4 linked regions of the Stegostoma tigrinum genome follow. The protein of the gene in region 1 interacts with the protein of each later gene in a pairwise test. Links are inferred from orthologs where the notes say so. Each region holds a gene or a part of one and is shown in the gene's direction. Other genes may lie near its edges.

What was found.
Region 2: the proteins of atxn3 (region 1) and dnm2a interact in binary tests that used the Homo sapiens proteins (3 or more experiments, as listed by UniProt). The link is inferred for Stegostoma tigrinum from reciprocal best matches to the Homo sapiens genes ATXN3 and DNM2.
Region 3: the proteins of atxn3 (region 1) and tex11 interact in binary tests that used the Homo sapiens proteins (3 or more experiments, as listed by UniProt). The link is inferred for Stegostoma tigrinum from reciprocal best matches to the Homo sapiens genes ATXN3 and TEX11.
Region 4: the proteins of atxn3 (region 1) and arhgap19 interact in binary tests that used the Homo sapiens proteins (3 or more experiments, as listed by UniProt). The link is inferred for Stegostoma tigrinum from reciprocal best matches to the Homo sapiens genes ATXN3 and ARHGAP19.

Annotation. Positions count from the first base shown.
Region 1 is NC_081363.1:27,980,067-27,987,156, forward strand, and holds the start of atxn3 (ataxin-3), read left to right. Parts: upstream 1-4,086; 5' UTR 4,087-4,130; coding exon 4,131-4,154; intron 4,155-6,277; exon of another isoform or gene 6,278-6,345; intron 6,346-7,090. UniProt on the Homo sapiens protein: Deubiquitinating enzyme involved in protein homeostasis maintenance, transcription, cytoskeleton regulation, myogenesis and degradation of misfolded chaperone substrates.
Region 2 is NC_081388.1:24,865,270-24,872,511, forward strand, and holds the start of dnm2a (dynamin-3), read left to right. Parts: upstream 1-4,230; 5' UTR 4,231-4,340; coding exon 4,341-4,615; intron 4,616-7,242. UniProt on the Homo sapiens protein: Catalyzes the hydrolysis of GTP and utilizes this energy to mediate vesicle scission at plasma membrane during endocytosis and filament remodeling at many actin structures during organization of the actin cytoskeleton.
Region 3 is NC_081368.1:40,548,654-40,556,139, reverse strand, and holds the start of tex11 (testis-expressed protein 11), read left to right. Parts: upstream 1-4,485; 5' UTR 4,486-4,586; coding exon 4,587-4,629; intron 4,630-7,486. UniProt on the Homo sapiens protein: Regulator of crossing-over during meiosis. Involved in initiation and/or maintenance of chromosome synapsis and formation of crossovers.
Region 4 is NC_081373.1:16,270,925-16,278,692, forward strand, and holds the start of arhgap19 (rho GTPase-activating protein 19), read left to right. Parts: upstream 1-4,767; 5' UTR 4,768-4,842; coding exon 4,843-4,856; intron 4,857-7,768. UniProt on the Homo sapiens protein: GTPase activator for the Rho-type GTPases by converting them to an inactive GDP-bound state.

The DNA of each region.
Region 1 (7,090 bases):
TAGATTATTTCAAATTATGAGCTCTTAATAATCCTACTGAACTTGACTGAGGACTTTGTAAATCTTGGAGTGGAACTGCAGTATTTCAGTGGCTTAATAAGATTGTTGGCAAGTATTCAAACAATTTAATTTGAAATGACAGCAGAAGGTGATTATAATAGCACACAATCAATTTATACATCTGAATTGAGTGCACCCTGGTATGACATCCATGAACTGCTTGTTTCCCACCTTCCTTTTCATCCCCTTCGCAGTGATGTGCCCATCATTGTGAAGAAGGCCATGTTACTCAACAGCAGGCATCTGCTATTTGTGTGGATTGAACATTGACTACCTATAATTTATACAAAACTGGTGGCTTGCCTTTTTATTCCTTTTCTTTTCCACCTTGTGTTTTTGTTGCTTGTTCATTTGAAAGATTATTTCACAGATTACCTGTTAAGTTTCCACAAACCCCAGACTGAAAATCATTGTCCTGAATTAGAAAGTCCAACAAACAGCTGTGTGATAATTACATATTTTGGTTTTATTGATGTTGGTTATGGGATAAATATAGCCAGGATAGTGGGAAAATGTCCCTGCTTTTCATACAAATAAGGAACAATTGTAGACCACTCAACCCTTTGAGCCTGCTATTCTAACCAAAGTTTACACTCTATCCATGTAGCAGTGGAGTGTCAGTCTAGATTTATGTTCATATAACTAGATTTAAATTAAATTGTCTGACTCAGAGGCAAAGTACTACCACTGAATCATGACTTACACCTAAAATCCTGTGTTGTTAATTTCTTAAAAATCATTGTTTTTGGTTCATGTCCGGATGCCAGTAACTAGGCTAACAAGTGGCAAGGAACGTTCATGCCACACAAGTACCATACAATGACCATCCACAGCAAGAGAGAACCTAACCATCGTCCCTTGACATTCAAAGTCCTTCTTATTCAGAGGCTAGGAATCCTGCAGTGAGTAACTCACCTGACTCACATGGCAGAAGTCAGAAATGCAACGGAAAATACTTCCCACTTGTCTGGATAGGTGCAGCTGCAACAATATTGAAGAAGTTTGACGTAATTTGGGGCAAAGCAGCTACTTTACTGGTACCACACCTAAAACATTCACTCCCACTAGTAGCTACAAGGTACACTGCATAAATTCATAAGGCTCTTTAGATAGCACCTTCCAAGCACCCACCTAGCAGATAACATCACCAACTGCAAGTGCCCCTAATTTGGAAATATATTGCTATTCCAATGTCACAGAGTCAAAATTCTGCAACTCCCTTCCTAATGGCATTGTGGATCTACCCAAACAAAATGTACTGGAACCATTCAAAGTGCCTCACTTCCACATTCTCAAGGGCATCTAAGGATAGGCAATAGATGCTGGCCCAACCATCAATGCCCACATCCACTGCAACATAATCTCATGTGCTACTGGCATCCAAAGGGACTGGAAAATGATGCCATGTACAAACAACAAAATTACATACGTGCAAATCCAACCACTGTCCTTCAAATCTGCCCTTGTAATTGTGATCCCAGTCTAATGTGCATTATTCTGGTGACAGCCAAACATCCTAGAAGCCCCAGATCACTGCATCTATAAGATGCTGAAAACCATGATTGGAGATCTTCCAATCTATCTCTCAATGCCACTTGAGAACTATGAACATGTCCCCATCTATAATAAAGGGAGCAGAGATTGAAAGCATCAAGTTCCTAGGAATGACAATAACCAACAACCCGTCCTGAACTTTCCACATAGATGGTCAAGAAGGCGCAACAAAGATTCTTGCTCAGACAGCTTAGGAAATTTAGCATGTCCACAAGGTCCCTCACCAACTTTCACAGATGCGCCACACAAAGCATAATAACAGGTACATTACGGCCTGGTATGGCAAATGCTCTGCCAGGACCACAAGAAACTACAGAAGGTTGTGTGCACAGCCAGACCATCATGGATGCCAACCTTCTATTAATGGACTCCATTTACACTTCTTGCTGCTGTGGAAAGGCTGCCAAGATCAACAAAATGTCTCCCACCCCGGTAATGCTCTCATACAACCTCTTCTGAGCAGAAGATACAGAAGCTTGTGCCCCCCTCCTGAGATGCTGCTTGGCTTGCTGTGTTCATCCAGCTCCACACTTTGTTGCCTTCAAGGCAACAGGGAAGCTACTCCTGAAACTGATCAGCAGATGCAAGGTATTCCGCACGGAAACAGACCCTTCGGTCCAACTTGTCCATGTCGACGATAAGAATTACATTTCTATACTCTCATGCTTCCCCAACTTCTAATCTGTGCTGCCGTAACTGCTGAGAAATTCCAGCAGTTTTTGTGGGTTTTGTTTTTCAGATTTCCAGCATCTGCAATTTATTTGGGATAATGGGAACTGCAGATGTTGTAGAATCCAAGATAATAAAATGTGAGGCTGGATGAACACAGCAGGCCCAGCAGCATCTCAGGGGCACAAAAGCTGACGTTTCGGGCCGAGACCCGATGAAGGGTCTAGGCCCGAAACGTCAGCTTTTGTGCCCCTGAGATGCTGCTGGGCCTGCTGTGTTCATCCAGCCTCACATTTTATTATCTTGGAATCTCCACACACGTACGAACAGGTTCAAGAACGGTTTCTTCCCTGCTATTATTAGACTGATGAATGGACTTTCTAACTTCAAAAAGGTGATCCTCCTGCGCAGTGTAACCTGTATGCCTCATTCTATTTAAGCACCCTAAGTTCTGTATATCCCTGCTTACTATAATCTGCTAGTGCTGCTCACAAACAAAGCTTTTCACTGTACTCAGGTACACGTGACTACAATAAATCAAATAAAATTTCAGACAGAAGACACTAACTGCTTTGTTTCCAATTGTATAGGCACAGGCAGGCAAGCCGATTCCTGAAGCTTAAAAAAATGAAAGAACTGCGGATGCTGTAAATCAGAAACACAAAGTTGCTGGAAAAGTTGAAGGGTCTAGGCCTGAAACGTCAGCTTTTGTCCTCCTGAGATGCTGCTTGGCTTGCTGTGTTCATCCAGCTCCACACTTTGTTGCCTTCAAGGCAGAGATCGACAAATTCTTGATCTCAGAAGGAATCAAGGGCTACGGGGAGAGTGCAGGGAAGTGGTGTTGAAATGCCCATGAGCCATGATTTAAATGGCAGAGTGGATTTGATAGGCCGAATGGCCTTACTTCCACTCCTATGTCTTATGGTCTTATGGTTATGCTGGAAAAGTTCAGCAGGTCTGGCAGCAGCCGTGAAGGAAAAAAAGAGCTAATGTTTCAGGTCTGATGACCCTTCCCCAGAACTGTCCTGAAGCTACTCCTGAAACTGATCAGCAGATGCAAGGTATTCCGCACGGAAACAGACCCTTCGGTCCAACTTGTCCATGTCGACGATAAGAATTACATTTCTATACTCTCATGCTTCCCCAACTTCTAATCTGTGCTGCCGTAACTGCTGAGAAATTCCAGCAGTTTTTGTGGGTTTCGTTTTTCAGATTTCCAGCATCTGCAATTTATTTGGGATAATGGGAACTGCAGATGTTGTAGAATCCAAGATAATAAAATGTGAAGCTGGATGAACACAGCAGGCCCAGCAGCATCTCAGGGGCACAAAAGCTGACGTTTCGGGCCGAGACCCGATGAAGGGGCTAGGCCCGAAACGTCAGCTTTTGTGCCCCTGAAATGCTGCTGGGCCTGCTGTGTTCATCCAGCCTCACATTTTATTATCTTGGAATCTCCAGCATCTGCAGTTCCCATTATCTCCGACAACATTCCTGTCTGGTCCTGCACAATAGGAGGGACAATAGTACATTTCCGCCAGCAACAGGCCGGCGTCAACTGTGATACAGGAAACTCCGGATCGGCATTGATTTCCTAAAATTCCGGACATTTTAGTCGGTTTCTGAAGAGAAGTGACTGCACTCGGTGTAGATCTAAAACCCAGGCCGGCTGTGTCCAAGCCGGGCCTCAGCCTCAGGGACACCCCCGCGTCTCTCGCTGTGTTACGTTGCTAGGGCGACTGTGCGTTTCTATACGCATGCGTATGAGCAGGCCGATGATTGGTTCTCGCTTTGACCCCGCCCCCAGTGGGTGTAGTCACGCCGCACAGGATGATGGTTCATCGTCCATCATGGAGGCGATATTTCACGAGAAAGTGAGTTGATGCGGAAATTACTGTTTAAAATGGTCGAGGTGGGAGCTCCTCGGGCCCTGAGAGGAACGGCCGCAGTGGCGTTCGACGTCGTGTTGCAAAGGGGGAAAAAAAACACGCACACACACACACGTTCACACACCCCTCCCTAAGGTTGGGGATGGAGTCGGGTAGGACAAGGGGAGCTGTGAGCTTCCCAAACGGTGTAGACGGGGGAGGAAGTATTCTTCTCCCCGAGTGGGGGGGTACTTTCAACCCTTTTCCCCTGCCGATTGAGGGGCCTTCACTCCCTGACCCCCCCTTCCTCCGACTGAGGAGTCTTCGCCCCCTGCCCTACCCACTCCGACTGAGGGGCCTTCATCTTCTGCCCCACCTACTCCGACTGAGGGGCTTTCACCCTCTGTCCCACCCACTCCGACTGAGAGGCCTTAACCCTTCTCCACCCTAACTGAGCTGCCTCCCCCTCTCCTCCCCCACCCCTAGTTTATTGAAGTTTTAAATATGTTGTTTGTAACAGTCTTTGATGTCCTGTTTCTGATCCAAAATATTTCTGATCATTCCCATAAAGCATTTAAGAGAGAGTTTTTCGTAATACACCTTTAATTACCTTTGTGTGAGGCTCAAAAATGACAGCAGCACTTGAGTATTGAGCAACACTTGTTACTGCATGATACAAGAGCACAATTTGTCAACCAGCTGACTCACAATAGTTGGTAAAGTTATGTTTTTACAGTTTTACTTCAATATAGGTGATCATTGTTCGGTGACTAATGTGTGGAAGTTCATCTGTTTCTGATAGGGAATTGGCTAGGGAGAATTGATGCCCAATATAGTGAAATGTTGGTTGTGATTACAATGTGACAAACTTGCATACATTTCCCATATAGATATGGGTGTTGGAATTGTCAAAATATGAAAATAAAGATGATGTAAAATGTTCAAATGGGGACTAAATTTCAACTGATTCCTGATCTGATTATCTCTCACCATATAACTTTATATCTTTTAAGGCAGCACAGGCCTTGATTCTACATAAAATGTCATAAGATATTACTAACTCATAATAATTGTGGTAAATTTCATTGATTATGCAGCTATTTATTTGTATTCTTTTAGTTCATACATACTGTAAATAACTCATTAAAACTTTACAATTTATGCCTAGTTATGCAAGACCTATATAATTCTGACTCTTGTACCTAACAATATAGCAGATAAGCTGGCTACATATGTGTGTGTATTGTAAAATGCCATGTATATTTATTTACTAATACTTGTACTTATTTGGCGAACCCTATTTTCTCTTATTCTGTATAAGAGCATCAGAACGAGAAGTAGATCGTTTGCCACCCCCCTCCCCAAAAGCCACTAAACTCATTCTTGATCACAAATCTGTCCAACTTAGTCTGAAATATGTTCAATGACCTAGTCTCAACTGTACTACGTGACACAGAACTGCAAAAATTAATGACACTCCTAGAGAAGAAATTCCTCACCTCTGTTTTAACTGGGAAGCCCATTGTTTCTCTTCTGCCCTTCCTCCCCAAGAGGAAACACTCTCTCCTACTTTTTCAGACCCCCCAGAATTGAATGTACAAACTTTTCCTTTCAAAGCTAACTGAGGTGACAAAAGGATCAAAACCAAAACATATACAAGATAATTGGAAAAAGAACTAGATGATTGTTGAAGAGAATGTTAGGCAGCAGTTTGTTCAAAGTTGGAATGCACTTAATAAAGGGGGGTCGAAGCAAACTTAATGTTTAAAAGCAAATTTGTGTACTTCACAGAATCTTGTATTCTTCCGCTTCTGCCACACACTCATCTTCTCCGTAAGCTATATGTTCCTCCTTTTCAGACAATAACCCATTTCCTTCTTGAATATATCAAGTGAACTTGCCTCCACTGTACTCTTAGCAGTGCATTTCAGATCCCAACCTACAGGAAAAAGCTTCTCATGTTTTTTGCCTGTTACCTTAAATCTGTGCCTTCTCATTTTGAAAGACTCAATAGATGAGAAATTTTTCGTTAATTACTCTGTCTAGACTGTCCTTTTCTCCTATATTGTTTCATGGGATCAGCATCTGTTGCTCATCCCTAATTGCCCTTGTACTCTATGGTTTGTTAGGTCATTCCAGGCAGCAATTAAAAGTTCACAACATTGCTTTGATCCAGAGCAACATATACGCAGACTGGGTAAGTAGGATAGATTTCCTGTCATAAAACATGTGAGTGAACCAGATGGATTTTTAATGATTTTTCATGCTAGCTTTATTTTGTGTAATGAACCCAGCTGATATTATTACTGGATAACTTGAATGCCAGACAGGAACCTGACTTGATAGATCATAATTTTATTTGTTTTGGTTTTAGAAACATGGTCTCTGACATAGACTTGAGCACATAATGCTCCAGATTTTGTTTCACTGACCAAACTAGTTTATTAAAAAGAAACAATGATAGAATAATCCAAACTACTTATGGTACAAATTGCAAGGTTTTAAACACATTAGAATCCCATTAATCCCAAAAACACCTTTATAAATTAAAATGAAGCCAAGCTGCTTTTAATATCTTGCTCAGAACACTCCTGGCACTGTTCTCAAACCATCACTCCTGGTACAGTATACAAGCATCATTCATGTAATATTCACGCCAGTTAAACTCGAACTCTGATACCTTACTCCTGGGGCTGTCATACACTTGAACTTTACTGCAAATAGCTTAAACAACCACTCCATCTTTGGCTTGACATGCTAAAGTACTCAGCAGCCTCCTTAGATTCAATACGTACTTATGTCTTTGTTAAATACATCTTAGCAGCAGTAGGCCATTTAACTCTTTAAGATGGCTCCTTTGTTCAATAGATTCTGGTTGAAATCCACATTGCCATTTGCCCTGAAAATCTATCTGTTCCCTTACCTAACAAGAGTCTATCAAT
Region 2 (7,242 bases), on another chromosome or scaffold:
TGAGCCCTGTCGAATCTTCACCTTCCCCCCCCCCCCCCCCCCCCCAGACCTCCCACTGACTGAGGATGAATGGTCAGTCCTTAGCAAGGGGCTCACCTTTGTTCCCCCTCCATCCACACATAACGAATACCAGTCAGGTTTGGACGCCGAGCAGTTTTTCCGCCGCCTTCGCCTCCATGCTTACTTCTCTGACTGTGAGCCTAACCCTCCCTCTGCTGACCCCTTCACCTGCCTCCAACACAAGTCCTCCTCCTGGACACCACCCTCCCTCAACCTCTTCATCTCCAACTGCCATTGAGACATCAATCGCGTCAACCTCTCCACCCCTCTCACCCACTCCAACCTCTCCCCTGCAGAAAGTGCAGCCCTCCGCTCCAATCCCAACCTCACCATGAAACCCGCAGACAAGGAGGCGCAGTGGTAGTATGGCGCACTGACCTCTACATCGCCGAGGCCAGACGCCAACTCTCCGACACCGCCTCCTACCGCCCCCTGGATCATGACCCCCCCCCCCCCCACCCCGAGCAACAAACCATCATCTCCCAAACCATCCACAACCTCATCGCCTCAGGTGACCTCCCACCCACAGCCTCCAACCTCATTGTTCCCCAACCCTGCAACGCCCACTTCTATCTCCTTCCCAAAACCTACAAACCTGCTGGCCCTGGTCGACCCATTGTCTCCGCCTGCTCCTGCCCCACCAAACACGAATCCACCTATCTGGACTCCATTTTCTCCCCCTTGTTCCAGGAACTCCCTACCTATGTCCATGACACCACCCACTCCCTCCACCTCCTCCAGAACTTCCAATTCCCCGTTCCCCAACACCTCATTTTCACCATGGACGTCCAGTCCCTATACACCTGCATTCCCCGTGCAGATGGCCTAAAGGCACTCCGCTTCTTCCTGTCTTGCAGGCCCGACCAGACCCCCTCTACTGACACCCTCATCCGCCTAGCCAAACTCGTCCTCACCCCCAACAACTTCTCTTTCGATTCCTCCCACTTCCTACAGACAAAGGGGGTGGCCGTGGGTACCTGCATGGGCCCAAGCTATGCCTGCCCCTTTGTAGGTTATGTGGAACAGTCCCTCTTCCGTACCTACACTGGCCCTAAACCCCATCTCTTCCTCTGTTACATTGATGACTATATCGGCGCCGCCTCGTGCTCCCAAGAGGAGCTCAAACAGTTCATCCACTTCACCAACACATTCCACCTCAACCTCAAGTTCACTTGTACCATCTCCAACACATCCCTCCCCTTCCTGTCTCCATCTCAGGCAACCACCATTTCAAGATATCCATTTCAAGCCCACCGACTCCCACAGCTACCTGGAATACACCACCTCCCACCCACCTTCCTGAAGAAATTCCATCCCCTGTTCCCAATTCCTTCGCCTTCACTGCATCTGCTCCCAGGATGAGGCATTCCACTCCCATACATTCCAGATGTCTTCTTTCTTCAGGGGCTGCAACTGCACCGCACCCCACTCCTCCCCCCCCCCCCCCCCCCCGGCAGTGCTCGAGAACACCCTCGACCATGTCTCCTGCATTTCCCGTAACTCATCCCTCACACCCCGTCCCTGCAATACCCGCCAAAAGAGAATCCCCCTCATCCTCACATACCACCCCACCAACCTCCGGACATAATGCATCATCCTCCCAACACTTCTGCCGTCTACAATCCGACACCACCACCAAAGACATTTTTCCATCCCCACCCTTATGTGCTTTCTGGAAAGACCACTCTCTCTGGGACTCCCTTGTCCGCTCCACACTCCTCTCCAACCCCAGCACGCCTGGCACTTTCCCCTCCAACCGCAAGAAGTGCTACACTTGCCCCCATTCCTCCTCCCACACGCCCATCCCAGGCCCCAAGATGACTTTCCACATTAAGCAGATGTTCACCCGCACATCTGCCAATGTGGTATACTGCATCCGCTGTACCATTGTGGCTTCCTCTACATTGGGGAAACCAAGCGGAGGCTTGGGGACTGCATTGCAGAGCACCTCTGCTTGGTTCGCAATAAACAACTGCACCTCCCAGTCACGAACCATTTCAACTCCCCCTCGCCTTCCTTAGACAACATGTCTGTCCTGGGCCTCCTGCAGTGCCATAACGATGCCACCCGAAGGTTGCAGGAATAGCAACTCAAATTCTGCTAGGGAACCCAAAACACTGCATCCCAAAACCAGCCCAGCTCGTCCCCACCTCCCTAACCTGTTCTTCCTCTCAGCTATCCCCTCCTCCTACCTCAAGCCACACCTCCATCTCCTATCTACCTACCTACCTACTAACCCAATGGGACGCCCCATTGACCTGTCCCCTCCCTACCTCCCCACCTACACTCGCCTTTAGTGGCTCCATTCCCGCCCCTTTTAACTTGTCTGTCTCCTCTCCACCCCTCTTCTCCTCTGTTCACCTTCGATCTGCCTCCCCCTTTCTCCCTATTTATTTCAGAATCCTCTCCCAATCCCCCTCTTTGATGAAGGGTCGAGCCTCGAAACGTCAGCTTTTGTGCTCCTAAGATGCTGCTTGGCCTGCTGTGTTCATCCAGCTCCACACTTTGTTACCCTAGTCAGGAAAGCCCTGGCTGAACAATATGATCAGGAGTTGAGAATCTCCTCAGTTCAGGGGACTGACTCTCGGCTAGCTGGCTACAGCCTGTGTAGCGTGTGCATGGAGATAAAGGATGATTTTGGTGGTGGGGCGCCAGCCTCCGTGCAGTTATTTCACATGGAGAATTGGTTGGGAGCCCTCAATATTGACATGGGCCTCCATGAGGTCTCGTGGCATCAGGTCAAACAGAGGCAATGAAACTTCGTGCTGATCACCACATACCAGTCCAAATCCTGGTCTTTGTTTATGAATCAATGCTCCTCGTTGAACACCACTTGGGGTGGCAAAGGACAGCAGGTACGCTGGATGGGAAATTTCAATGTCCATCAGCAGTAGTTTGGCAGCACCAGTAACAAGTTCAACCATGACTGTGTTAAAGCAGCAGAGCAAGTCTGAGGGGCCATATGATCTATTTCAGTGTCCTGTCAATGTCATTTACATGCTTCTTGATGCATTTCCACTTCCTTTCAAATGCTCCACTTTTTTTTCGTTATTTCAAATTTCCTTCTTTTGAAATGATCACAGATCATCCATCATCACCCCACTCTTTTATTCCTGCTGCCAACCTGCTTGAAACCTGTATTACAGTATCTTTTACTTAAACCAATTCTACTGAAATGTTAAGATAATAAAATGTGAGGCTGGATGAACACAGCAGGCCAAGCAGCATCTCAGGAGCACAAAAGCTGACGTTTCGGGCCTAGACCCTTCATCAAAGAGGGGGATTGGGAGAGGATTCTGAAATCTGATGAAGGGTCTAGGCCCGAAACGTCAGCTTTTGTGCTCCTGAGATGCTGCTTGGCCTGCTGTGTTCATCCAGCCTCACATTTTATTATCCAGAGAATCTCCAGCATCTGCAGTTCCCATTATCTCTGATACTACTGAAATGTTAAATGTGTTTCTCTCTACAGAGGTATTGTCTAAACACCTGAGGTCTTTCCAATTTTTTTTTCAAATTTCAGATTTTCTTCTGGATTATTTTCCAGTTGTTTTTATGCACCTTTCCTGCTGTATGGCACAATGCTACGTATCTGGGTGTGTACTCAGCTTCGTCAGTTCGTCTGGAGGGTCTGAGCCCGAAACGTCAGCTTTTGTGCTCCTGAGATGCTGCTTGGCCTGCGGTGTTCATCCAGCTCCACACTTTGTTATCCTGGTCTGTTCGCTTCCTGGTCAGTAACAACAGGGAAGGGAGGGTGGAAGCATGACCTCATCGGTCTCCAATCGGTTCTGGCCGTGGATGACTGACGTGCAGGAGAAGCCAATGAAGGGTTAGGAAGGCGGGGATAATGGGACCTGCCAATGCTGGAGAATCCGAGATAACAAGGTGTGGAGCTGGATGGACACAGAAGGCCGAGCAGCATCTCAGGAGCAGAAAGGCTGACGTTTCGGGCCCAGAGCCTTCCGAAACATAAGCTTTCCTGCTCCTAAGATGCTGCGTGGCCTGTTGTGTTCATCCAGCAGTTATATTGGAGAGGAAGGCGGGTCAGCTTTCGGAACGCGGGGGAGCGAATCAGTGACGGAATCACTATGATCGACAGGGACCTTAGCCAATGATTGGTCATATGGGTGGTGACATCTGACTGATGTCCAATGCACCCATTCAGAATGAGCGATGTTGTGATTGACGGAGGAATGTCCAATCTAATTGGGCCAGAATGGGTGACGCACCCAGGAAAGGCGTCATTACAAGGGCAGGCCGTGCGATGAATGGCTTAGATTCGGATGATTGGCGGTAGATCTGGCGAGTGGGATGTGCCCGGTTATCCGGCGGGCCTAGGGTGTGAGCGGAAGCGCAGGCCTCAGGCGCTGGGAGTGAATCAGTCCCCGAGCGGCGCAATGGGGAACCGGGGGATGGAGGATCTGATCCCGCTGGTTAACAAGCTGCAGGACGCTTTCAGCTCCATCGGTCAGAGCTGTAATCTCGACCTGCCGCAGATCGCCGTCGTGGGAGGGCAAAGCGCCGGCAAAAGCTCGGTGTTGGAGAACTTCGTCGGCAGGTGGGGGCGGGGGGGAGAGACTGAATGTGTAAATCGGGAGAAAGGGAGAGAGAGGGGGAATGTGTAAACTGGGGGAAAGTGTAAACCGGGGGAAAGGGGGGGGAGAGAGAGAGAGGGGGAACGTGTAAACCGGGGGAAAGGGGGGGAGAGAGAGAGAGAGGGGGAACGTGTAAACCGGGGGAAAGGGGGGGAGAGAGAGAGAGAGAGAGAGAGGGGGGGGAACGTGTAAACCGGGGGAAAGGGGGGGAGAGAGAGAGAGAGAGAGGGGGGGGGGACGTGTAAACCGGGGGAAAGGGGGAGAGAGAGAGAGAGAGAGGGGGGGGAACGTGTAAACCGGGGGAAAGGGGGGGAGAGAGAGAGAGAGGGGGAACGTGTAAACCGGGGGAAAGGGGGAGAGAGAGAGAGAGAGAGAGGGGGGGGAACGTGTAAACCGGGGGAAAGGGGGGGGGAGAGAGAGAGGGGGGGGAACGTGTAAACCGGGGAAAGGGGGGGAGAGAGAGAGAGAGAGGGGGGGAACGTGTAAACCGGGGGAAAGGGGGGGAGAGAGAGAGAGAGGGGGAACGTGTAAACCGGGGGAAAGGGGGAGAGAGAGAGAGAGGGGGGGAACGTGTAAACCGGGGGAAAGGGGGAGAGAGAGAGAGAGGGGGGGAACGTGTAAACCGGGGGAAAGGGGGAGAGAGAGAGAGAGAGGGGGGGGAACGTGTAAACCGGGGGAAAGGGGGGGGGGGAGAGAGAGAGAGAGAGAGAGAGAGGGGGGGGGAACGTGTAAACCGGGGGAAAGGGGGAGAGAGAGAGAGAGGGGGGGAACGTGTAAACCGGGGGAAAGGGGGAGAGAGAGAGAGAGAGAGGGGGGGAACGTGTAAACCGGGGGAAAGGGGGGGGGAGAGAGAGAGGGGGGGGGAACGTGTAAACCGGGGAAAAGGGGGGGGAGAGAGAGAGAGAGAGAGGGGGGGGGAACGTGTAAACCGGGGGAAAGGGGGGGAGAGAGAGAGAGAGGGGGAACGTGTAAACCGGGGGAAAGGGGGAGAGAGAGAGAGAGGGGGGGAACGTGTAAACCGGGGGAAAGGGGGGAGAGAGAGAGAGAGGGGGGGGAACGTGTAAACCGGGGAAAGGGGGGGGGAGAGAGAGAGAGAGGGGGGGGGAACGTGTAAACCGGGGGAAAGGGGGGGGGGGAGAGAGAGAGAGAGAGAGAGGGGGGGGGAACGTGTAAACCGGGGGAAAGGGGGGGGGGGAGAGAGAGAGAGAGAGAGAGGGGGGGGGAACGTGTAAACCGGGGAAAAGGGGGGGAGAGAGAGAGAGAGAGAGGGGGGGGAACGTGTAAACCGGGGGAAAGGGGGGGGAGAGAGAGAGAGAGAGGGGGGGGGAACGTGTAAACCGGGGGAAAGGGGGGGGAGAGAGAGAGAGAGAGAGAGGGGGGAACGTGTAAACCGGGGAAAGGGGGGAGAGAGAGAGAGAGGGGGGGGAACGTGTAAACCGGGGGAAAGGGGGGAGAGGGAGAGAGAGGGGGGGAACGTGTAAACCGGGGGAAAGGGGGGGGGGGAGAGAGAGAGAGAGAGAGAGAGGGGGGGGGAACGTGTAAACCGGGGAAAAGGGGGGGAGAGAGAGAGAGAGAGAGGGGGGGGAACGTGTAAACCGGGGGAAAGGGGGGGAGAGAGAGAGAGAGAGGGGGGGGAACGTGTAAACCGGGGGAAAGGGGGGGAGAGAGAGAGAGAGAGAGAGGGAGGGGGGGAACGTGTAAACCGGGGAAAGGGGGGGAGAGAGAGAGAGGGGGGGGGGAACGTGTAAACCGGGGGAAAGGGGGGGAGAGAGGGGGGGGGGGGAACGTGTAAACCGGGGGAAAGGGGGGGGAGAGAGAGAGAGGGGGGGGAACGTGTAAACCGGGGGAAAGGGGGGGAGAGAGAGAGAGGGGGGGGGAACGTGTAAACCGGGGGAAAGGGGGGGAGAGAGAGAGAGGGGGGGGACGTGTAAACCGGGGGAAAGGGGGGGAGAGAGAGAGAGGGGGGGAACGTGTAAACCGGGGGAAAGGGGGAGAGAGAGAGAGAGAGGGGGGGAACGTGTAAACCGGGGGAAAGGGGGGGAGAGAGAGAGAGAGAGGGGGGGGGGAACGTGTAAACCGGGGAAAGGGGGGGAGAGAGAGAGAGGGGGGGGAACGTGTAAACCGGGGGAAAGGGGGGGAGAGAGAGAGAGGGGGGGGAACGTGTAAACCGGGGAAAGGGGGGGGAGAGAGAGAGAGGGGGGAACGTGTAAACTGGGGAAAGGGGGGGGGGAGAGAGAGAGAGAGGGAACGTGTAAACTGGGGAAAGGGGGGGGGAGAGAGAGAGAGAGGGAACGTGTAAACTGGGGGAAAGGGGGGGAGAGGGAGAGAGAGAGAGAGAGGGAACGTGTAAACTGGGGGAAAGGGGGGGAGAGGGAGAGAGAGAGAGGGGAACGTGTAAACTGGGGGAAAGGGGGGGAGAGGGAGAGAGAGAGAGGGAACGTGTAAACTGGGGGAAAGGGGGGGAGAGGGAGAGAGAGAGAGGGAACGTGTAAACTGGGGGAAAGGGGGGGGAGAGGGGGAGAGAGAGAGGGAACGTGTAAACTGGGGGAAAGGGGGGGAGAGGGGAGAGAGAGAGAGAGGGAACGTGTAA
Region 3 (7,486 bases), on another chromosome or scaffold:
AATAATTTATTATTTTTCTGGTGATTAAACGTCTGAGGCTACATCTGGCAGCTGTGGTCAGACACGATATTGGTACTTTGGAGCAATTCCTTTGGAGTAATTTGGGCTTATACTTCTTCTTAAATGTTCTTGTTCCCTGTGGTCATAAAAACATTTACAGCTTTACAGTTAAAATATTGTTTAGTGTTGTCGATCATTTATGTAAGCACTAATGTTACATCCTTTATGTCAGAGAGCACCAGACTGTTCAGTACTTAGTTAAATTATCACTGACCTGAAGATCATAACAATAATATCTCTTGAATAAATAATTGATTGCAAATTGTTCTAACATTTTGAGGAAGACATGTTGGGGAAGAGATTATCTAGCAATCCAAGACCAATTGCAAATGAACAAATCATTCTCGCTCATACTTTCCATGTAAAATAGACTGGTTTCCAGTGAGAAATAATATCATTTAGCTTCCTGAATCTGTACCAACATATAGTTTGATCATTGGTTAGTCCAAGATTGGCAGCCTTTTTAAAATCAAAAATTAGTGAGATTGTCAACTCAGTGTGTTAAGCATCCTCTGGTGTGACTTCATTCCCTATTTTGGCAGGGCACTCTGCTGCATTTGCTGCAGAGGTAAATGAGGGTGAGAGAGTACATAACTTGCTTGTCTGTTTTCTCTGGGCCCCGTTTACGGCCACCTGTGCCTTTAGTTTTAGTTTGCCTCTTCTAATGCCCTTCCAGCCAATCCATCTGAGTGGGCATTACAATCAACAACTGTTGCATTTGCACAACTTGGTGAGAGTGCGTCTTGGATGAGTGGCTCACATTCGGTATTGCACTCGAGTGACTCAAATTTACTGTTCCAATTATGCTTTTTGGAGAGAATGGCCTGCCTTCTGTGTCGCATTTTGTGGGAGGCACCCACAGTTGGTGCCGCAGTGTAGAGAGAGTGGCCAGTTCTGGGGAGAATAAACCATGGTTCACAGAGCTTTTTTGGGCAATGGCCTGAGAGTTGCATTGCTTTCTGGGGTGAGGGGTTCACAGTCAGCATTATGTTCATGGGCAAAAACAGAAGTTGCTGGAATAGCTCAGCAGGTCTCAGCAGAACTGAGGAAGGGCTACTGGACCTGAAATATTAACTCTGATTTTTTTTTTCTGCACAAATGCTGCCAGAGCTGTTGAGTTTTTCCAGCAACTTCTGTTTTTGTTCCTGATTCACAGCACCTGCAGTCCTTTTTACATTCATGGGGCAAGAGGCTTGCTGTTGGCATTGCTTTCTGGAGGGTGGAGCTACTGGTTGGCCAAGCTTTCGTGTGCAAGGGACCTGAGAGTCATATTGCTTTCTGGGGTGAAGGGTTTGTAGTTGGTGTCAAATTTGAACACTCTGCAAAGAGTGGCCCTCAGTTGAGCACTCTTGGGACGCTGACACGGTCAGACAGTCTGGGGTTGGTGGCCTGTGTTGACCAGTATGGGAACTGTGGCTTGTAGCCAGCCTTGCATTCATGGGCATATCAGTTGAGTGGTCTGGGAAAGTGGCTCACGGCTGAGCAGTACGGGAACAGTGGCCTGTGTTTGAGCCGTTTTGGGATAGTTGTCCACGGTTAAGCATTCTGGGGAGACTGGACAGATGTTGGTGCTGGATACCCTGGGGGAGGGCAGCCCTGTCAGCGTTACATTCTGGTTGAGGGGCCTGCTATTGGTGTTGTATTTGTGGGGTAAGCGGGTAGTGGTTTGCATCACGTTCTGCGGAGAGTGGTCCATGGTTGAGCAGTCTAGGGAAAGTGGCCTGTGGTTGCCGTTGCTTTTTGTAGGGTGGGACCTATAGTTGGCTGAGCATTCTAACCAAGGAGCCCCAGGGTCGGCATCGCGTTCTGATTAGAATGGACAACTGTTGATGCCACATTCTATATATCACATTGACTGGTGAGGAAACCTGCAGTTAGCGTTGCGTTCATGGGCCACGTTGGTGGCAGAGCAGTATGGGAACAGTGCCCAAAGTTGATGGCACATGCGGTCAGTCTGGGAAGTGCGACATGCAGTTGAGCTTTCTGGGGTGAGGGGCCTAATGTTGTTTCCTAACATTCTAGGTGACTTGCTTGCAGTAGCTTTGCCTTCAGTTATTCTGGAAAGAGTAGTCCGTAGTCATTATGCTGGTGAGGTCTTTTCTGGAATTTTCTGTCCAGTTCTGATCACCCTGTTATAGGAAGGATATTATTTATTAGGTTGGAGAAGTTTCAGAAGAGATTGGTCAGGATGTTTCCAGGAATAAAGGATTTGAGTTATAAGGAGGGGTTGGACAGACTGGGACTTCATTCACTGGAATGCAGGAGGTTGAGAGATGATTTTATAGAGGCTTATAAAATAATGAGACATACAGATAAGGTGAATGGTAGGTATCTTTTCTCTAGGTGGGGGATTTCACGACTGGGGGCTTATTTTTAAGCTGAGAGATAGAAGATTTGAAAAATGCACGAGGGGCAGTTTATTTGCACAGAGTGGTTGGTGAGTGGAATGAACTTGCAGGGAATGTGTTAGATGCAGAAAAGTTACAATGTCTAAAAGACATTTAGTTAACTACATGAATAAGAACTGTTCAGAGGGCTATGGGCCAAGTGCAGGCAGGTGGGACTAATTTCGTTGGAACTGTAGTCGGCATGAACTGGTTTCTGTGTTCTCTGACTCTGCCTCTAGTTGAAAAGTCTGAAGAGATTACATGCTGTCGAGCAGTCTCGGATGGGTGGGCAGAATTTGAGCCATCTTCGCTGTTTTGCAATATATTGAAAGGGACGTATAGTCAGTGTCGCATTCGAGCAGGCTGAAGTGAGGGGCCTGTGGTAGATGTCTCATTGTGGGATGAAGGGCCCATGTTTGGCATTGCATTCTGGTCAGATTGGCCCACTGTGAGCGTCAGTCCAATTAGGGGGCCTGCAGTTGATATTGCCTACTGGGTCCAGCAGCCCGTGTCGGTGTTGCAGTCTGGGGGAAGGGGCAAGTGGTCAGCTGTTGAACAGTGTGGTCTGATTGGCCAGAGTTTGAGCAGTTGGGGAATATGTCACGGTGGAGGAGGATCGGACCTGGGATCCAAGCTGGAATGAACTCTGATGAATGGCCTGTGTTTATGCAGTCTTGGAAAAATGGGCCATGATCACCATTGTAGTCTTTGAAAGTTGCATGTGTTCAAACAGTATGGGACAAGTGGTCTATGGTCATCTAATCTGGGAAGTGTGGCCCACAGTCAGTGTTGGAGTCTGGAAATTTGGTCTGCATTCGGCATCGCAATTGAGCTATCTGCTTTGAGCGAATTGAAATTGGAGTTGTAGACATGTATTTTGGAGAGAACAGTTGGCAAGCCTAGGGCAATTGGACTGACATTGGCATTGCTTTTGTGCCCTGTGTGGAGAGAGCCAGGCAGTCAAGATGTTTGCAGTGTGTGGACTACGGTTGAGCCATCTGACGCATGCCCGCAATCGATCAACGTGTAAACAGGACCCTTACAATGATGTCATTCTGGGATAGTACCCTGCGGTTGAGCATTTTTGGAAGAGTAGTTAGCAATCAGTGTGGCATTTTGTGGAGAGGGTCCTGTGGTTGGTATCATGGTCTGGCCAGAAAAACGTGTGCTATGCCTCGGGTGATTGATTGCCAGAGGGCAGTGCAGCCTGGTGCAAAGGGTGTGCGGGCGTGGTCATATTCTAGGGAGAAGGGTATACAATTAGCTTTGCATTCAACAAGTGGTCTGCAGTCAAGCAGTGTGGGGAGAGTAAACGCAGTCAAGCAGAGGGAGGTGGTTTGCCAGATTTCAAGTTGTTTTTAGTTGTTAAGCTGTCTAGTGAGAAGGTCCTGCATTTGTGTTGCAGGCTGGGGTGAGGGCGCATGCTATCAGAGTCACATTCTGGGGTGAGGCCCCCGCAGCAGATGTTACATTCTGAGGCGAGGGGTCCAAGTGCGCTGTCGACTTCCGGGATGAGGGGCCTGTGTGCAATGTCACGTTCTGGGCCGAGGAGCCTGCGGTCAAAGTCACATTCTGGGGCGGTGGGCTCATGATTGGAATCACATTCTGGGGCGAGGCACCTGTGTGTGATGTCACATTCTGGGGCATGGGGTGCACGGCCAAATTCCTCTACTGGGGCAAGTGACCCATGGGTGAAGCCGCATTCTTGGGAACAGGGGTCTATCACTGCCTTGCTCTCCTGCTCTCCCCTCTGTGTCTCTCTGTCTGTCTGTCTCTTGCTGTCTCTGCTCGCTCTTGCTCCCCACTCTCATGCTGTCTATATTTGCCTCTCTACATGGTCCTTAATCAATCAGCCTCAGCATTGTAGTATCCCTATCATTTTAAATACTGTACCAAAAACCCTTGCCTTCTAACAAAATCCTGGAGTTGTGACAGAACTTCTAAAATTAAAGAAAACAACAGCTAGTCGATGCTCTGGGGAAATACATAGTCACAGGGACAGCTGCCTGGAACCATCATTCAGTTAGAAAATCCAATTCGCACAACAACTCTAAAAGAACAGTGAACCGGATCTAAGGCAACAACTAACTGAGAAATCATGGAACCTTACAGCTACCAAGACATCCAGCATCAACGAATATGCATGATGTGAAGCAGCCATTGTTGGGCTGGGGTGGACAAGGTCAGAAATCACACGACACCAAGTTACAGTCCAACAGGTTAATTTCAAAACACGAGCTTTCGGACCCTCAGTCCTCCTTCACATGTTAGTGTAAGAGGTAGTATCAGACACAATTTGTAAGTAAAAGATCAAAGGATCACAACATTGAGGATATCCTAAAGAAACATAGGATGCTGTTAAATCTTTAATCTTGGTCCGGAGAGAACTCAAGGTTTTATCAGTGTAAACAAGGGTGACATTTTACATCAGATAGTTCATGTTAGATGTGAGACCTTGATTAGAATGTGTTTATGTTTTAGATTAGAATCAAAGTAGTTTTATTTCTAAAGTATGAATTTATAAAACCATACATTGACTGAATGCCTACAAATTGTGTGCTTTTTGAACAAAATGGAATGTATCAGCAAATACAAATTCACTCAATAGATTTAGTGTATGTCTACCTGTGTGTGTGTGTGAGGGTGTTCAGAGAGAGAGAGAGAGAGTGTGTGTGTGTGTGTGTGTGTGTGTGTTGGGGGGGAAGTCTGTGTGTGTTTGTTGGTGGCGAAGTGTGTGTGTGTGCGTGTGTGTGTGTGTGAGTTGAGGGGGAAGTGTGTGTGTGTGGGGGGGAATGTATGTGTGTGTGTGGGGGGGCGGAATATGTGTGTAAGTGGGGGGGGAATGTGTGTGTGTGGGGGGGGGAATGTGTGTGTGTGTGTGGGGGGGGGAATGTGTGTGTGTGTGTGTGGGGGGGGAATGTGTGTGTGTGTGTGTGGGGGGGGAATGTGTGTGTGTGTGTGTGGGGGGGGAATATATGTGTGTGTGTGGGGGGGGGAATATATGTGTGTGTGTGGGGGGGGGAATATATGTGTGTGTGTGGGGGGGATTATGTGTGTGTGTGGGGGGGGATTATGTGTGTGTGTGTGGGGGGGGATTATGTGTGTGTGTGGGGGGGGGATTATGTGTGTGTGTGGAGGGGGATTGTGTGTGTGTGGGGGGGGGATTATGTGTGTGTGTGTGGGGGGGGGATTATGTGTGTGTGTGTGGGGGGGGGAATATATGTGTGTGGGGGGGTATGTGTGCGTGTGTGTGGGGGGGAATGTGTGCGTGTGTGTGGGGGGGAATATGTGTGTGTGTGGGGGGGGAAGACGTGAGTGTGTGTTGGGGGGAATATGTGTGTGTGGGGGGGAATGTGTGTGTGGGGGGGGAATGTGTGTGTGTGGGGGGAATGTGTGTGTGTGGGGGGAATGTGTGTGTGTGTGTGGGGGGAATGTGTGTGTGTGTGTGGGGGGAATGTGTGTGTGTGGGGGGAATGTGTGTGTGGGGGGGGAATCTGTGTGTGTGTGTGGGGGGGAATCTGAGTGTGTGTGTGGGAGGAGGAGAATGTGTGTGTGTGGGGGGGGGAGTGTGTGTGTGTGTGTGTGTGTGTGTGTGTGTGTGTGGGGGGGGGGGAGAGTGTGTGTGTGTGTGTGTGTGGGGGGAGGTGTGTGTGTTGGGGGGGGAATGTGTTTGTGTGTGTGGGGGGTGCGAAATTGTGTGTGTGTGGGGGGAGGGAATGTGTGTGTGTGGGGGGAGGGAATATTTGTGTGTATGTGGGGGGGGAGTGTGTGTGTGTGTGGGGGGGGAGGGAATGTGTGTGTGTAGGGGGGGAATGTGTGTGTGTGGGGGTGGGGGAGAATGTGTGTGTGTAAGGGGGGAATGTGTGTGTGTAGGGGGGGAATGTGTTTGTGTGTGTGCAGGGGGGGGAATGTGTTTGTGTGTGTAGGGGGGGAATGTGTGTGTGTGGGGGGGAATGTGTGTGTGTGGGTGGGGGGGAGTGTGTGTGTGTGTGTGTGTGTGGCGGGGGGAGAATGTGTGTGCGTGGGGGGGGAATGTGTGTGCGTGGGGGGGAATATCTGTGTGTGAGTGGGGGGGGAATGTGTGTGTGTGTGGGAGGGGATTGTGTGTGTGTGTGGTGGGGGGAAATGTGTGTGGTGGGGGGGAAATGTGTGTGGTGGGGGGGAAATGTGTGTGTGGTGGGGGGGAAATGTGTGTGTGGTGGGGGGGAAATGTGTGTGTGGGGGGGAAATGTGTGTGTGGGGGGGGAATGAGTGTGTGTTGGGGGGGAATGAGTGTGTGTGGGGGGGGAATGTGTGTGTGTGGGGGGGGAATGTGTGTGTGTGGGGGGGGAATGTGTGTGTGTGGGGGGGGAATGTGTGTGTGTGGGGGGGAATGAGTGTGTGTGGGGGGGAGGAATGTGTGTGCGTGTGTGAGTGTGGGGGGAATGTGTGTGTGTGGGGGGGGGAATGTGTGTGTGCGTGGGGGGGGAATATGTGTGCGTGGGGGGGGAATGTGTGTGTGTGGGGGGGGGGGAATGTGTATGTGTGTGGGGGGGAATGTGTGTGTGTGTGGGGGGGGAATGTGTGTGTGTGCGGGGGGGGAGAATGGGTGTGTGTGTGTAGGTGGGGGAGGGGAATGTGTGTGTGTGTGTGTGTGTGTGTGTGTGGGGGGGGGAATGTGTGTGTGTGTGTGTGTGTGTGGGGAGTGTGTGTGTGTGGAGGGAATGTGTGTGTGTGGGGGGAATGTGTGTGTGGGGGGGGAGGGGAAATGTGTGTGTGTGTGTGTGTGTGGGGGGGGGGGGAGTATGTGTGGGGGGGGAGTGTGTGTGTGTGGGGGGGAGTGTGAGTGTGTGGGGGGGAATGTGTGCGTGTGTGTGGGGGGGAATGTGTGCGTGTGTGTGGGGGGGAATGTGTGTGTGTGGGGGGGAATGTGTGCGTGTGTGTGGGGGGGAATGTGTGTGTGTGGGGGGGAATGTGTGTGTGTGTGTGTGGGGGAATGTGTGTGTGTGTGTGTGGGGGAATGTGTGTGTGGGGGAATGTGTGTGTGTGTGGGGGGAATG
Region 4 (7,768 bases), on another chromosome or scaffold:
AAAACATTGAAGACTTGCACTCATATCTGATTGACACTTGTGAAAATTGAGTTTTTTCATGTAGGCAACCTGGTCAGATATCTATATTAATGATCTTGTTCCATCCACCACTGCAGAGACTCCTTTTGCTGAATATTCTTCACATTTATTATCCAAATAAATACTCTGGCACTATAAATAATAAATGTTCTATAACTTTGTGGTATTTTTTAAATTATGACCTCAATAACAGGTTAAGCACAAATGTGATTCCTATGTGCTTCAATGTAGTTCCACCTTGTGATGTCTAGTGAAAGGATGACAATATCATTCCAAGTCTGGATGGGTGTGACTTACAGAGGAACTTGAAGGTATCTGCTGACCTTTATGTTATAGGTGAATAAAGGTTGAAAATTTGGGAGAATCTGTCACTGCAAATGCTGGTGGGAACCCCATGGTGCACTGAGAGTGGAATCAATGAGGAGGTTGCAGCCATTTTGGTGACAATTGCAGTCTTAAAATCAGTTAGGTGGGGGAATGGACTACGCTCATTACAGCACCATCAAGGGACATCTAATAATTAGAAATGACTATGTTACTATCAGTCAACTTGTGTGTTAATTAAGAACCTTCAGCCCGTTTGTCCATCTATGTGTTCATGGCTAATTATCACTTTAGCTATACTGCCTGTTACCTGTACTTCACTGAGACCAAAAATCAATTGATTTCTTCAAAATATTCAACAATGGAACTTTGTTTGAATGGCGATGCGGGTTCAAGTGTCCTGTTCATATATTTATATGGTCTAAATGGTCACATCTTTATTTTGATAATGTGCCCATGTTCTAGATTCCCTGCCTGTGTCGCTACCCAGTTAATTTGCTTTGGAATCTTGCATTTCAATGAATCTTTTCAATTCATGAAAGTATAGGCCCAATTTTCTCAGCCTCTTGTCTTTCATCCTAAAAATCCTTCCAGCCTTCACTGCATCACAGAATCCTAGAATCCCTACAATGTGGAAGCAGGCCATTCAGCCCATTGAATCCACACAACCCTCCAAAGAATGTCCCACCCTCCCACCCCTATGTCTAACACTGCATGTCCCACCCTCCCACCCCTATATCTAACACTGCATGTCCCACCCTCCCACCCCTATGTCTAACACTGCATGTCCCACCCTCCCACCCCTATGTCTAACACTGCATTTCCCACCCTCCCACCCCTATGTCTAACACTGCATTTCCCATGGCTAATCCACCTTGCCGCTCATTTGCTGGACACGATGGGCAATTTAGCATGGCCTGTTCACCCATCCAGCATGTTTTTGGACTATGGGAGGAAACTAGAAGGCCTGGAGGAAATCCACCCAGGCACTGGGAGAATGTGCAAACTCTACACAGACAGTCCTTGAGGTGGTATTTTCACTTCCAATGAAAATACATACTCTTCAAATATGGAGACCCTAACTGCACACTGTATCTCATTAAACCCCTGTAGAATTGTACTGCTGTGCTGCGAGTGTTCTGTTTGAAGGCGTGTCCTCTGGTTCTCTATTGACACTTCATTGCGAGCCAGTTTTCTTTTTGACTGAAGAAGAAAAAAGTGGTTGTTTTCCACTGCATTCTGTTTTTTGGGGAGACAGTTCTTAAGTCTACTTCAGCCAAATGAGAACCAAACCTGTGTTGTTGGCATTTTTCCGAACTACGCACTAGCCATCTAGCAAACCGATCCCTTCAATTGTACTAAGATTCCCTTATTCTTCAATTACCTTGAAATAAGGGTCAATATGCCATTTGGAAGCATAATTACTTGCTTCACCTTTTGAGTTATCTCTGTTTTCTTGTATGAGTGCAAGCATGACCCTTCTAAAACTTTCTCAGGTTTAACACCTTCAGAAGAAAAATCCTGCTTTTCCATTCTGACTACCAAAGTTAAAAAGATCTTAATGGTCCACATAATATTCCTGACTGCCACTTTGGTCCACTTTTATATAACTTAAATGTTTCGGTGGCTTGAGTCCTCAATTGCCAACAGACCTTAACTTTGGCTCTGATTAATTATTTGAACACTTCTTTACGTTTGTCAATAAAGGGTATCTTTAGGGCAGTGTAAATGGAGCTTTACTCTGTCCTAACCCTATGATGCACCTGTCCTGGGAATTTTTGACAGGGACAGTGTATAGTGAATATTTAGTCTGTAGCTTTTTTGCCCTGGAACTGAACATGGTAGTGTGATTTTTCACCTTGAAACAAGTGTCCTGTTGCATAATTTCATGAAACAATTGTGATCGCCTCTACAGCATTGCTGAGAGACTTATTTTGTTCCTGAATTTGTAGTATGTTGAGACTTGAATCATAATGAGTCCTCTAGCTTACACTTTTACATTGATCTAACAATGAAACCCAACCAAAACCATAGGAGAGCACCTGTGATCCATCACAGATCCTGTGTCCTGGATATTCCAGGATGTTACTTGTACTGTAACTGTTGGGAAACTAGTGTCTATATTTCTGATTGTAACTATAACATATGAAGGCTTTGCTACAGCTTTATATATTAGATGTTTCAATACCTAGAACTTCATTTGTTAAATAATGAAGAGAACTTATTTATGTGGCTCAGATGTTCTACATAAGGTGATTATGAAGCTTTGTGTAGAAATAATTATGTAAATAAAATGGTATTGCAGATGATACTTGCTGTTTTCATTTCCAAAGTTAGATCTTGTTCATGATAATACAGTCGACTATAAATCTGTAACTGCCCCATTAACTGAGGGGCAAAGTGAAAAAAATCATTAATTTTGGGATATTAAACCAGGTTAATGTAATCAGTAAGGTTGCAGCTAAGTCCAAGTGAAGTACTGAACTTGGGTTTGGATATGAGGCTCTGTGATTGATACATTGTCTGTTTCATATATCTGCCACAGGAAAGCTCCTGTTCTCAGTTGCGGAAGTACAAAGTGAAAAAATGGTATTTTCCTAAGGAAGGGAAAATTACCTCAGTTTTCATTGAGCTAATTAAACCTCCCCAAAGTTGTGTTATGAAGCAACTGGGAAGCAACTGATTGGTTTTGGCAAGCAGCTGAGGGTTGGTCACTTGTATTTTCTTGGTAACATGATATGAAATTGGAGAGAATTAAAGACTCATTTTTGACAATGTAAAATATCATATTACTTGTGTATATCCTCTGACAGGAGAGCTCTGCACTTACTGGATACTGAAGATTTAGCTGTATTACTTACATTTCATTTATATTAGAGAAGGGATACCAAGACTAAGGACAATGCTTAATTGGAGTAAAAATGTCAGGTTGAGTGGGGTAATTTTGGTAATTGAGAGAAAAGAGATGATCAAGACTAGGGAGAAATCAAGGCAGAAAAACAATGGAAGTAGGAAGACCTACAAACTAGAAGAGATTCTGATTGTTCAATGGGTTAGTTGTATTTAGAAGAACACAGATTTATGGGTTCACCATTGCAAGACATTGTAAGTAGTACTGAATATGTTTAAAACCTTTTAAGGAAAAAAAAATCTAATACGGGTTAAAACAGATTGAAGCTACATGTTGCAGGTTGGGAACAGCAACTCATATTCCGCTTGGGAACCCTGCAGCCCAATGGTATCAATGTGGACTTCACCAGCTTCAAAATCTCCCCTTCCCCACCGCATCCCAAAACCAGCCCAGTTCGTCCCCTCCCCCCGCTGCACCACACAACCAGCCCAGCTCTTCCCCTCCACCCACTGCATCCCAAAACCAGTCCAGCCTGTCTCTACCTGCCTACCCTGTTCTTCCTCCCACCCCAAGCCGCACCTCCATCTCCTATCTACTAACCTCATCCCACCTCCTCGACCTGTCCGTCTTCCCTGGACTGACCTATCCCCTCCCCACCTATACTCTCGTCTCCAGCTCTTCTTTTCTCTCCATCTTCGGTCCGCCTCCCCCTCTTTATTCCAGAACCCTCACCCCATTCCCCTCTCTGATGAAGGGCCTAGGCCCGAAACGTCAGCTTTTGTGCTCCTGAGATGCTGCTGGGCCTGCTGTGTTCATCCAGCCTCACATTTTATTATCTTGGAAGCTACATGTAGTTTCGGGCACTACTCAAAACAGACCCTGAGGTAATACCCAGTCTAGTATGAGAAAAAGAGCAGCTTGAACAGTTAGGGCTAATACAAGAGATCGGATTGAACAAACAAAGAAATGGACCCTGGAAATCTGAAACAAAAACAGAAATTACTGAAAAAACTCAGCAGGTCTGGCAGCACCCGTGGATAGAGAAACAGGCTTCACAACCACCCTTCATCAGTTGCAGTTGCAGATCCTGGCAATGAGAAAAATATGCTAAGACATCGCGTCTTCATCAGAAGAGACGTCTAGATGGTGAACGTTAGTTTGCTCTCTCTCTGTGGATGCTGCCTGACTTGCTGTGATTTCCTTCATTTTTGTTTTCAGTACAGAGTCTGGCATCTGCAGTAATTTGCTCCTATGCAGAAACAGGACGTAGCAGGTTAGCCAGCTTCCGTGGAAAGAAACAGAATTAACATTTCATTCCTGCTCCTCTGATACGGCTTGGCCTGCTGTTTTTATCCAGCTCTACACCTTGTTATCTAACATTTCAGATTGATGACCGTTTAGCTCTTGCATTTAATGTGAGCACATCACTGTTTTCTATCTGTAGGAGCTGTCTCACCTAATTATTTAGGTAGCCTATGACCATTGAGCCCGACAAACAACTACAATTCCCATGACGAGTCGCGCGGTGGATTGAGATACGCGTGCGCGGCTGCTGGAAAAGCACGCAGTTTGAATTCAAACTGACCAATGGGAGTAGAGACCACAAACGGTAGCGCACCGGTTGGAAGATGTCGGAATCTCGGTGAGAAAAAAAACCTGCATGCATGGATAGTGATGGGAAGAGAGAGAGAGGTGGGGAGAGTGAAAAAATTTAGACAGGAATGAAGAGGTGGGGAGCGGGAGACACACGGGGACAGAGAGATGGAGAGAGAGACAAGGACACGGACAGAGACAGACACACACACAGGGACACAGAGAGAGAGACATACACACACGGGGACAGAGGGAGAGAGAGAGCGAGGGACAGAGGGAGAGAGAGACACACACACACAGGGACAGAGAGAGCGAGAGGCGCGCACACACAGGGACAGAGAGAGAGCGAGAGACACACACACACGGGGACAGAGAGAGAGAGCGACACACACGGACAGAGAGAGACGGCGAGACACACACAGGGACAGAGAGAAAGTGAGACAGCGAGACACACACAGGGACAGAGAGAAAGTGAGACAGCGAGACACACACAGGGACAGAGAGTGAGACAGCGAGACACACACACACACACACAGGGACAGAGAGAGTGAGACACACACACAGGGACAGAGAGCGAGAGACACACACACACACAGGGACAGAGAGAGAGAGCGACACACAGGGACAGAGAGAGAGAGCGACACACACACACACAGGGACAGAGAGAGAGAGTGACACACACACACACAGGGACAGAGAGAGCGAGAGGCACGCACACACACGGACAGAGAGAGCGAGCGAGAGACACACACACACACACAGGGACAGAGAGAGAGCGAGACGCGCGCACACACACAGGGACAGAGAGAGAGAGCAAGACACACACACACAGGGACAGAGAGAGAGCGAGAGGCGCACACGGACAGAGAGAGAGCGAGACGCGCACACACAGGGACAGAGAGAGAGCGAGAGGCGCACACACAGGGACAGAGAGAGAGAGCGAGACACACACAGGGACAGAGAGAGAGCGAGAGGCGCACACGGACAGAGAGAGAGCGAGAGGCGCGCACACAGGGACAGAGAGAGAGCGAGAGGCGCGCACACAGGGTCAGAGAGAGAGCGAGAGGCGCGCACACAGGGTCAGAGAGAGAGCGAGAGGCGCGCACACAGGGTCAGAGAGAGAGCGAGAGGCGCGCACACAGGGTCAGAGAGAGAGCGAGAGGCGCGCACACGGGGTCAGAGAGAGAGCGAGAGGCGCGCACACGGGGTCAGAGAGAGAGCGAGAGGCGCGCACACAGGGACAGAGAGAGCGAGAGGCGCGCACACAGGGACAGAGAGAGAGCGAGAGGCGCGCACACAGGGACAGAGAGAGAGCGAGAGGCGCGCACACAGGGACAGAGAATGCGAGAGACACGCACACAGGGACAGAGAGAGAGCGAGAGACGCACACACACATAGGGACAGAGAGAGAGAGGTACAAAGAGAGAGAAAAACACACAGGGACAGAGAGAGAGCAAGTGATGCACACACACATAGTGACAGAGAGAGAGAGGTACAAAGAGAGAAAAACACACACAGGGACGGAGAGAGAGCAAGAGTCACACTCACGTAGGGACAGACAGAGAGAGAGAGAAAAACACACACAGACAAAGAGAGAGAGACACATAGGGACAAAGAGAGAGAAAAACATGCACACACATCGGGAGAGGGAGGGTGGTATGTACGCACATGCAGGGAGAGAGGGACACGTGCATGCTCAAACACAGAGGGGGCAGGGGCACGCGCATACGCAGGGAGAGGGGTCGGTGGCACGAGCACACGCACGGAGGGGGGGGTCCATAAGACATAGGAGTGGAAGTAAGGCCATTCAGCCCATCGAGTCCACTCCGCCATTTCATCATGACTGATGGGCATTTTAACTCCACGTCCCTGCGCTCTCCCTGTAGCCCTTGATTCCTTGTGAGATCAGGAATTTATCAATCTCTGCCTTGCAGATATTTAACGTCCCAGCCTCCACTGCACTCCGTGGCAATGAATTCCACAGGCTCGCCACTCTCTGGCTGAAGAAATGTCTCCTCATTTCTGTTTTTAATTTACCCCATCTAATTCTAAGGCTGTGCCCACGCGTCCTAGTCTCTACGCCAAATGGAAATAACTTCCCAGCGTCCAACCTTTCTAAGCCATACATTATCTTGTAAGTTTCTATTAGATCTCCCCTCAACCTTCTAAACTCTAATGAATACAATCCCAGGATCCTCAGCTGTTCATCGTATGTTAAACCTACCATTCCAGGGATCATCCGTGTGAATCTCTGCTGGACACGCTTCAGGGCCAGTATGTCCTTCCTGAGGTGTGGGGCCCAAAATTGGACACAGTATTCTAAATGGGGCCTAACTCGAGCTTTATAAAGTCTCAGAAGCACATCACTGCTTTTATATTCCAACCCTCTTGAGATAAACGATAACATTACATTTGCTTTCTTAATCCCAGACTCTACCTGCAAGTTAACCTTTAGAGAATCCTGGACCAACACTTGCAGACCCCTTTGTACTTCTGCTTTATGAATTTTCTCACCATTTAGAAAATAGTCCATGCCTGTATTCTTTTTTTTCCAAAGTGCAAAACCTTGCATTTGCTCACATTGAATTTCATCAGCCATTTCCTGGACCACTCTCCTCAACTGTCTAAATCTTTCTGCAGCCTCCCAACCTCTTCAGTACTACCTGCCTGCCCACCTATCTTCGTATCATTGGTAAACTTCGCCAGAATGCCCCCAGTTCCTTTATCCAGATCATTAATATGTAAAGTGAACAGCTGCAGCCCCAACACTGAACCCGGCGGGACACCACTTGTTGCCATTCCGGAAAAGAGCCTTTTATCCCAAATCTCTGCCAATCCTCAATCCAAGCCAGTAGCTCACCTCAAACATCAGGCGCACACACCCACACGTGGACAGAGAGAAGAAGGGCGCGCGCGCGCACCCACACGTGGATGGGGAGAGAGAGAGAGAAGGGCATGTGC